Caenorhabditis elegans: one gene and its partner. The protein of the gene in region 2 purifies or fractionates together with the protein of the main gene of each other region. This does not show direct contact. Each region holds a gene or a part of one and is shown on either strand. Other genes may lie near its edges.

Region 1 (4,212 bases), on a different chromosome or scaffold from region 2:
ACTTAATTCCAGTGAATGATTATTGAAGTGAGATTGACTGATTAGTTGGAGACCGCCCATCGTTTGAAGTGCCTGAAAAGAGACAATTTATTTGCTGAATACCGTATGTATTCCAACCTTATCAACATTTTTGACAATTCCTGGATATTTGATTAGGACCAGCTGCTGCGGCTCCTCGCGTTTTTGTTGTGTGAAATTGAGAAAATCGTTCATTTTTCCTGAAATAAGTTGTTATTCTTTAAGGTGGTCTAAATATTTGATAAAGATTGCAAATATTCGAAATAAATTTAAACGGTTGAATTAATTTCGAATTGCCGCATAAGTTCCGAGTTGCGTATTGTGCGTCAAAACACGCTTCTTAATTTAATTATACGAGTAAAAGCGTGTTTCGACGCACAATACGTATACGCCTGTCGAGTGAATTCAATAGTTTTAAAAACTCAAATTTAAATATATAAAAATGGTTTACAAAACCAATCAGATGAAATCCAATTAAAAAAGAACAATAAAATTTTTAAATGTCCAGCATTTCCTTTTTTCTATAAAAAATACCAGTAAAAACATAAAGTTTTTGCAAAATAAATAGAAATAAATATCAAAATTATTTCAATCATCTTCTTGTTCAAAATCTCCAAACGGCCATCCTCTTTGCTCTCCAGTCTGTAGTTCTGTATACGGCCAAGCAATGAATGAATGCGTCTTGACACCATGCACATAGTTGAACTCCTGGAAGCATGTCCTGCAGAAGTGTGTGTAGGTGTTGGGAAGAAGCTCGTGGCGTTCGACGACGAATCTGGAAATGTAAAATTTTAAATTAATTTACTTTGAGGAAAAACAATAATTTTTGCGAATTAAACTTACTCCACATGCCCTTTTTTACAAATATCACATTTCTTTTCATTTCCCTTCTCGTATAAGGTGAATGGATATTTATCGATTCCCCACGGGTCCGATTCATGAAGAAGTCGCAAATCATGAAAAACGAGTAGATGTTCACAATTCCCAGAATGCTGGAATATGTACGGCTGCCCTAGACGCAGCTTCAGGTCAATAATTCTGACTCCTTCCATACTACAAGCCTCCACTGGATCATAAATCTCGCGGTGAAGCATAAAGTTGCGGATTGGGCTGAAAAATGTTTTTAAACATTTTTCTAAAGAAAATTACTAATTACTGTGAAATGTCAATTGCATTGGGTGGCATATCCACATAAAAGGTATCATGAACAAATATAAATGATGATGGAAATCGAACTGCGGTTGCATTATCCAAATTCGGTGGATCCAGCTCCAAACCATTCTCCAATGGAACAATTGTATCACTTTGACATACCTGAAAGTTTAAAAAAAATTAAATATTTAATGTGTGTTTTAAATTCAAAAAATCATACAAATTTCTGCCGTAAATCCGAAAGAAGGGTGTCTCCACGAACAAGAAACTTGGTCATTGGCTTCAAAAGTCGCGAGCTCCGAAGTTCAGAAGATAAAAGTTCTCGATTGTATGGCATCAGTGCATCAACGATAAGGACAATGTCATCTTCACATTTCTCTAATATTGAACATTGAGGATGGAAAAGCTGGAAAAATTATTTTATAAAGATTTTTATTTTTATTAATTAATTTACAGAAGTATTTGCTCCGGCGTTCAACATGTATTTGTCATATTTCAGTGACGTGACATATGCGGACTTCCGCTGCCTTGAAGTTTTCATAGTCTTTTCTCGACTTATCACATGTCTGAAAAATTATAGTTTTTGAATAAAAGGTTTAAATAATATTTACTTGTGGGAAACTAGCGGTGATCGTTCGAGGAACTTGCGATCCCCCTTCATATCTTCAAATCGTCGAGTTTGAACGTCTGATGACCCCTCCAGAAACATATCGAGGCTGAAAATCAATAAAATTAGTTGTTTTTCGATTTTTTGAAATTTACTTTACTTTGAAACTTCTTCAATAGCTTCCAATGATTCTTCTTCTGTTACTCCTTGAATATAAGACAGACTGTTCTTCCACATTTCCATTTCATGTTCTTTTTCGGTTTTTGAATCGAAATCGTCCATTGTTCTATCGATAATAACTGAAAATTCGACAATATTCGATTGTTTTAAGATAATAAACTAACCTTCTCCCAACTCTCGAACTTCCAGCATCTCTTCCTTCACTGTGGCTAAATTGAGCAGTGGAGAAATATACCATTGTTCATCAGAATTGAACTTTCTGTCCATTTATTTAAAAATTGAATTCAAACAGTTATACGGAGGAGAAAGTTGGATAAAAGAATTCGAAAAATTGCTTTTTCAAAAAAAAAAACAATTTTCTGGAGGGGTACGGTGTACAACGGTGTTTGCACAGTTTATTGTACACCGACGCGCAATAATGCACATTTGTGTGCGCGGGAAATTTTGTTGGGCGGCAAATTTTGAATTTTAGGCCTCGAACATTCCCTCTTTTTGTCATTCTCATCTTCATTCGCTACTTTTTTTTGCAATTTTTTGCCTAAAACGCTTTCAAGCTACTTCTGCATCGTTTCGCGCTTTAAATTTGCAAATGGTCTGTCCTAAAACGTTCTGCCCCTCATTTTAGCTTCCTTTTTCTGTTCCATTTCCTGTGAAAGGTGACTCATTCATAAACTATTCCCTTCTCAGCGGTTTAGGAGACTGGGGAAATTGTAATTTTGTAGTTTTATTCGTGATTGATGCATAAAATTGCATAAAATAGGCCGCCATAATCTTTCTTGAAGGTCAGCCACCGTGTTTATCTGATATATAATTATTATGTCCTTGCTGCGATCAGCTCAACCGGGCGCAATAGGCGGATACCATTCATCATTTTCGACATGTACAAGTACTTCTCGTGTAACATATTTGCACAGCTTGTCATGGTTTCTGGTTATTCGGGTCATTTTAGTATCTGTTCCATTATAATTTCCCCAAAAAACTGTTTGCTGTTTGTTTCTGTTCTTATCATTTCCCTAGATTGCGTGTTATCAGCTCAAATTCTTCTGTTGTTTCTACTTTTCGGCGCCGAATGAATCACAGAAATAGAATTTCTCTTTGCAACTGATTAATATTTTGAGTTCCACTTTTTCAGTTGGCTAGTTCCTTAACTTCGTAAGCCAGGCGCGTCGTCTTTTCAAATTGCTAGATGGATGGGCACATTTTTTGAAATGCCTCGCCTGTGGCGGGTTGGTAAGGGACACCGCTGTCGCCCGTTGGTCAAGGCCGTCACAAAGCATTCGCGTCCCTGTCCATCCGAAACATAGAGGGCGCGGAGAGAAAAACGACGGGAGAAGGGAGGGAAGCACGGGCGGCGCCAGTCTCTATGTTTCTCGCTTGGTATAATGTGTCTCATCGACAACGGAAAGTGGGGGTAAGAGTAGAGCTCTTTTTCGTCCCCAGCGCCGACACACGACCCTTAACTCGACTTTTTTCGTCAGTTATTTCTTGGAATTTTTTTTTGAAGCTTCCCGTTGATTTGGATTGTATTTTAAAATCGTTATCCAACCAGCAACTGATCTAGATAGTACCCATTAACATTGTCTCCTGGCGCGTGTACTACGGTAATTGACCTTTCTCTGACTGGCTGCATGTGTGACGAAGTATTGGCTGCATATGTATCGTATTGTATAGGCGACCCCAAGCCGATTGTCACTGCCACGTCATCTCCGTTTCTCTTTTCTCCGCAATTCTCAATTCACCACCACCGCAGCCGTCAACAGGGGTACGATTTCCATCGCATTGAACTAGTTTTTGTCCCTCGTTTTTCTTCACGGTTCGTCTTCATCTCTTTTATTCTGAAGGCTTTTCAAAGCTGCAGGCCCCCAGCACATTTCATTCGGTTCCCATAGGATTACTGCGCGCCAAGCGGCATCTCCCTCTCTACCCCAAACCAATAGCACCAAATTGCACCCGATGAAAAGCCATCTGTGTCGTGTGCTCTATCTCCTTCTGCCAAACCTAGTGGTGACACGCAAAACAAATGGATTAAGCAAAAAGAGAGGGAATTGATGGACATTTTGTGTATGTTTCGCAATAGATTTGCCTCTGCTCTCTTCCTCTTCACCCATTCTACCCATATCTGCATATTTCGCAATAGTCTATTCGATTTCACCACCCTTTGCAGTCCAACAACGACTGCTGCCCCAGTGGCCACTGCGGTTTTTAATGCGAGCGGGCGCCGCGCGCCCCGTGTTCTCGCGATTATCGATCCGAAT
Region 2 (4,849 bases):
AGACAACTACAAACTTTTTTTTAGACATACAATTTTGCATGCCGACAACTATTGTAAATTATTCAATATTTCTCAAATATTATCCACGATTTCAATCAAGTTTTTTTTCCGGCATACGTTCTTAATTTCAAGATGTTTAGTTCAAAAAGAGTATACAACATAGGAACTACAAAAAACCTGACAAGAAATGCAAAAAACAAAAGAAATTAAAAGGCTGTTCGAATTACACCAAATATCAAAATAAAACTTTTCAGAGAATTTTGAAAATTTTATAATGATTGTTGCGTTTTAGCACTATAGGTATAGGTATATGTTTCAATAATTTCCTTGATAGCATTTTTACAGTACTTCATTTTGGTTTTTTTTTTCAAAAAGCCCAAAAATAAATTAATTCTGAAAAGTTTTCAACAATTAATTTGAGTTTTCTCGTTGGGCGAAGTAATTGTTTATCATCTCTTAAAATTAGATAAGAGGGTTGATGTAGTTGTTTTATCAGTACGTCAAGTAGGTTCAGTTGCAGTTCATGCCAGTGTTGCATAGTTTTTTCGCATTGAAAAAGAATATACTTGCCTGTAAATTTGAATGCAAGAAAACACTTTTGTAATAAGAATCTGCACGTGCCAAAAGTACTTTTTGCAAAAAAAATCAGACCAATTTAATCCATTCAGTTCTTAACAAATCTTTCATGATGAAGCAGATATTTCACGTGGTTTACCAAAAGTTTTTGAGCGTTTGGCATTTATTCAGAGGTGTGAGCATGACTTATGACGCCTTATATAGTGGAGATAGGATTATAAAAAGTCATGGCAATAATGGAAAAACATATCACATAATAAAAAGTAGAATACGTGGATTTATTTCAATAATTTAATTGTTTTGAAAAAACCAAAAACTGAAAAAAAAGAGTACTGGTCAATCAAACAACGAAACATTCTAATTTCATTTTGTTTTAAAGGAGGGATATTGGCATGAGTTTCGCTTGTAATATTTAGTGTATAAAAGCTAATTTTTGTATAACAGCTAATTTTCGAACGCTGCAACATGAAAGAATTGGTAACCTTAGGGATTCAAGCTAAAATTAGGCAGTTTTGAATTTTGAAATTTTAAAAAGACATACTTTTAAAAAAAATTTTCTGAGAAGTTCATTACGAATTTTGTTGATTTGAGTTTTGTCTATAGAAGCAATATAAGTTAACATTAATAGTTTCTTGATAAAGTTGACAAAATTTCCAACTTTTTAGCTACTGACACCGATAGTGTTCAAACACCTGTTTAATTACTTTTTTTCAAAAAAAAAATCACAAATCTAATCATAATCAATCAAAAAATACTCGTGCTACTGTCTGCTTGATTCAGTACACAAACAGTCAATAAACCGGTGATTTGTCTCTCTATTCAGTGATTTCACGGCAACCAACCACCCACGTGTCCCCAAGTTTCCCAATAAGTTATAATGTTTTAGTGATATGCCCATGCGCTTCCAGAAAGACTAAAATTAAGCAGCAATGGAAAAAAAATGCACAAGCGTCACCTTCGTATCCTTCCTTTCTGCCTACACATGTCCTCGCAAACATTCCTAATCTCCGCCCCGTCTTTTTTCTTTTTGTCGACCAAAACATTTCTCATCTTCTTTTTACATCGCATGTTCCTGTTCAAATCACTTTGACACTTATCTTCATTCCGAAAGGTGATAATATTTTGTTCGCTGTTTATTGTTTTGTTGTTGTGATGCAATGTACGCAAGAATAAAATCAATTTTTTTCAGAAAATGTCTGAAGAAGAAGAATCTACAGATAATTCTGGGAAACCCCCTATAGAACATCCGCATGATAGAGAGGTTAAATCAGAAAAACAATCATCAAATGTGCTTCCTGGAATATTGCGACGAGCTGAATCCACGGATGATGCTCATCAAGTCAGACGATCATCAATGCGACCATATGAATCTTTCGATGGTTTAAAAAATGATGGAATACTGAAAAGGTAATTTTGTGTACATTGCAGTCACATTATATGGTTTCGTTATGATGAAAGACAAAAAAAACGTGAAAAACAACTTGCACATGACCCACGGTTAGAAGATAGTGTGATCAAATGAGGGAAATGAGAGATCAAATAGAGCATAGTCTCCAAATTTTACAGGAAGTGATAAACTTCACGTTTTTTCATATTTTTATTTTACCAGGATTATACTGAGTTCAATGAAACTGAAATTTCATGCAGTCCCTGGAATTAAAATAAATAGCCAGAGAAATTGTTAAATTAGAGTTGAGTTTTCGCGTAATTAAAAAATAATTTTAAAATTTTAAAATAATTTTTTATTGTTCAGGAGGTAAATGCATATTCCGGATACTCAATTTGAATTTAAAACGTGGAATAGCTTGGTGAAATGTGGGAAACCCTTTTCCTGTGATACTAAGATGATGAAATAATAATATAAAACGTTTTATTTCATATTTTCAGAACTGAAACTCTAAAAATGCTTCAGTACTCACTGTTTTCATTTCCGCCAAACCCATAACCCATGTACAATAGAGCGCCCTTGAATAATCTCTTAACTTTGTAATATCATTTTTTTAAATTTTTTTAATAGTATTTTAATACAAAAATGTTAACTAATTAGAAATTTTTTCAGCCTTGAGAAATAATAGAAAAATACAAGGCAAGTTTGAGAGAGCTCTATTCAAATCAAAGTCTGAGAGAAACTAAATGTTTTTTTTTCTAATTTTCAAAATTTATTAAGATGTTAAAACAATTTTTCATAAGCAAATTTTTAACTGATTTTGAACCTTTAAGTTGAAGCTTCAGACCTTGTTCACTATTTCATAAAAAATCGTGTGTAACCTTTAAAAATGTATCCAATGTGCCAGTAAAACATATATTTTTGTAATGGTACGTGCTTGCATTTTCGTTTTTTTTGTTTGATATTCCAAATGTTACAGGTTAGGTTAGAGTAATAGTAGGTTAAAGGTTAGTTATTACAGCCATTTGTAACCGACAAATTGCAAATCCTCTATCTATTAAGAAATCATCATAACTATTTTGTCAGACTCTAGATTTTTAAATCTCAAGTACTGATTCAGACATTCAGTTCAAAAGATTAGTTTCACAGCTTAAGAATATACTTATCTCTTTTGCTTTCACTGACTATATCCTTATCTTAAATTTATCATCAATTTTTTGACTCATCCCAATGAAAAGAGCCTTAAAAGTTTGGGCATGTTCTTTTTTTCTATTTTACAGCTGATAATTTTGTTACTAAAACAACTTAACTTCTATATTTTCTATCATTCTTTTGGTTCTCTTCATTGTCTATTATTTTTCTTTAGTTTTGTAGATTTCAGCTCCACTTGATTCTTTTTTTACTTGAAAATAGTCTCGATGATCATAATATTTGCTTTTCGGAACAAGTGCACTTTGTTTTCACCATTTCCGAATTTTTATTGTTAAAGTACAGTAAAGTAACATCTCTTCTGTTAGCTCGATTGTGTTCGCATGACTGCACAATGCTCAGGTGACCGAGCAAAACTAGCTGAAAACGCTTTTCAGGTCTATTCAAGTAGAAATCTGAGATGTAGAGAAAAAAATATATCTCCTCAGTTTTCAAAATTTTGAGTTTAAGAAAAGTTTTGATAACTTTTATTATTAATTTTGAACCCCTTGTTGTTTACACTCTATATTTCCTTTTTTCCTTTTCTCAGAACACCATCCGTACTTAATGGATGTGAGACCCAGCACGAAGGACATATAGAAATTTCAAGTGAGAGTAAGCAAAAGTGTTTTTTGGCTTCCCAAAGCTTATTCACGCAGCTAACAATTGCTCTTTCACCCACCTTTGGTTAATCCATCCTAATCTGATCGCATGGAGGGAATGAGGTGGGATGATTAGTTGGCATCGGGGAAAAAACAGTTGAAAATGAGGAATAAATCGGATTAGTTGTCATGGAAAGCTTGGGAGATATGCGAGGATTCGGGTTGGATGAATAACATATAGTGTGTGACGTCTTGTAAGATATCATCAGTTTTTGTTTTTGCCAAATTAGCAATTTCTTTGAATTTTTTCTACATTTGAACATTGCTCTAACGAACATCATTTTTCGTTTATTTTCTAACACACCTCTCTAGGCCGTTGATCTTTGAAATTGTTTATTGTACTTGTTTTGATAACCAAAAATCGGCGAGGAACCAAAACCAAGCCAATAAAAAAATATTGGCACGGTGTTATTTCAAATGCATTTCGGTTTCAAACTATTTTCCATATATTCATTTCAGTATTATGTATATCGGCACCGGTAACGGTCAAAATCGGCTATTAAAGCTCAAAATAAAAATTGAAAAAAAAAATCGCTTTGTATGTTTTCTACATTTGTTCAGTTTTTCAGTTCACAATTTTTCAACTTTTTTTTTGATTTCTCGGTTTTCATAAAATCAAAAATCGTACCCTTTTGTAATATGTTTTACTAAGAGTTCTCTAAAATATTATTTTTCTAATTTATTTGATTTTCAGTAGCAATTCAATTATCTGTTAAGCAAAATTGAATTTTTAACCTTTCTCATCATTTTCAAATGTTTAACCGTTCTCCCGCACAAGGTATTTCACAAAAGTAAAATGAGACCAAGCAGTTTCTCTTCGTTTTAAAACAAAGCCATCTATTCGAACATCACTATGAAAGAAAAAACCGAGAAAAACAAGGTTGTCTCTCAAAATCTAACACAGACGCACGTGCCCTCCCGTTCATCTGCTCTTCTCCGCTTATTTTCTTTCCCGGCCTTGTTGTGTCTATTTCTCTTGTTATCTCTTTTATTTTCTCTATATTTCGGCATACCCGACCTAACCGTGTGGTAATAC

What was found.
Region 1: the proteins of ist-1 (region 2) and snpc-3.4 fractionate together in Caenorhabditis elegans (co-fractionation; one large-scale study listed by BioGRID). This does not show direct contact.

What each region holds. Positions count from the first base shown.
Region 1 is NC_003281.10:4,018,172-4,022,383, reverse strand, and holds snpc-3.4 (snRNA-activating protein complex subunit 3), read right to left. Parts: upstream 2,348-4,212; 5' UTR 2,225-2,347; coding exon 2,122-2,224; intron 2,077-2,121; coding exon 1,938-2,076; intron 1,887-1,937; coding exon 1,782-1,886; intron 1,737-1,781; coding exon 1,625-1,736; intron 1,577-1,624; coding exon 1,391-1,576; intron 1,333-1,390; coding exon 1,175-1,332; intron 1,129-1,174; coding exon 862-1,128; intron 794-861; coding exon 607-793; 3' UTR 501-606; downstream 1-500. Other genes in the region: tftc-5 (General transcription factor 3C polypeptide 5), read right to left, coding at 1-72, 118-213.
Region 2 is NC_003284.9:7,124,883-7,129,731, forward strand, and holds the start of ist-1 (IRS-type PTB domain-containing protein), read left to right. Parts: upstream 1-1,768; coding exon 1,769-1,983; intron 1,984-4,849.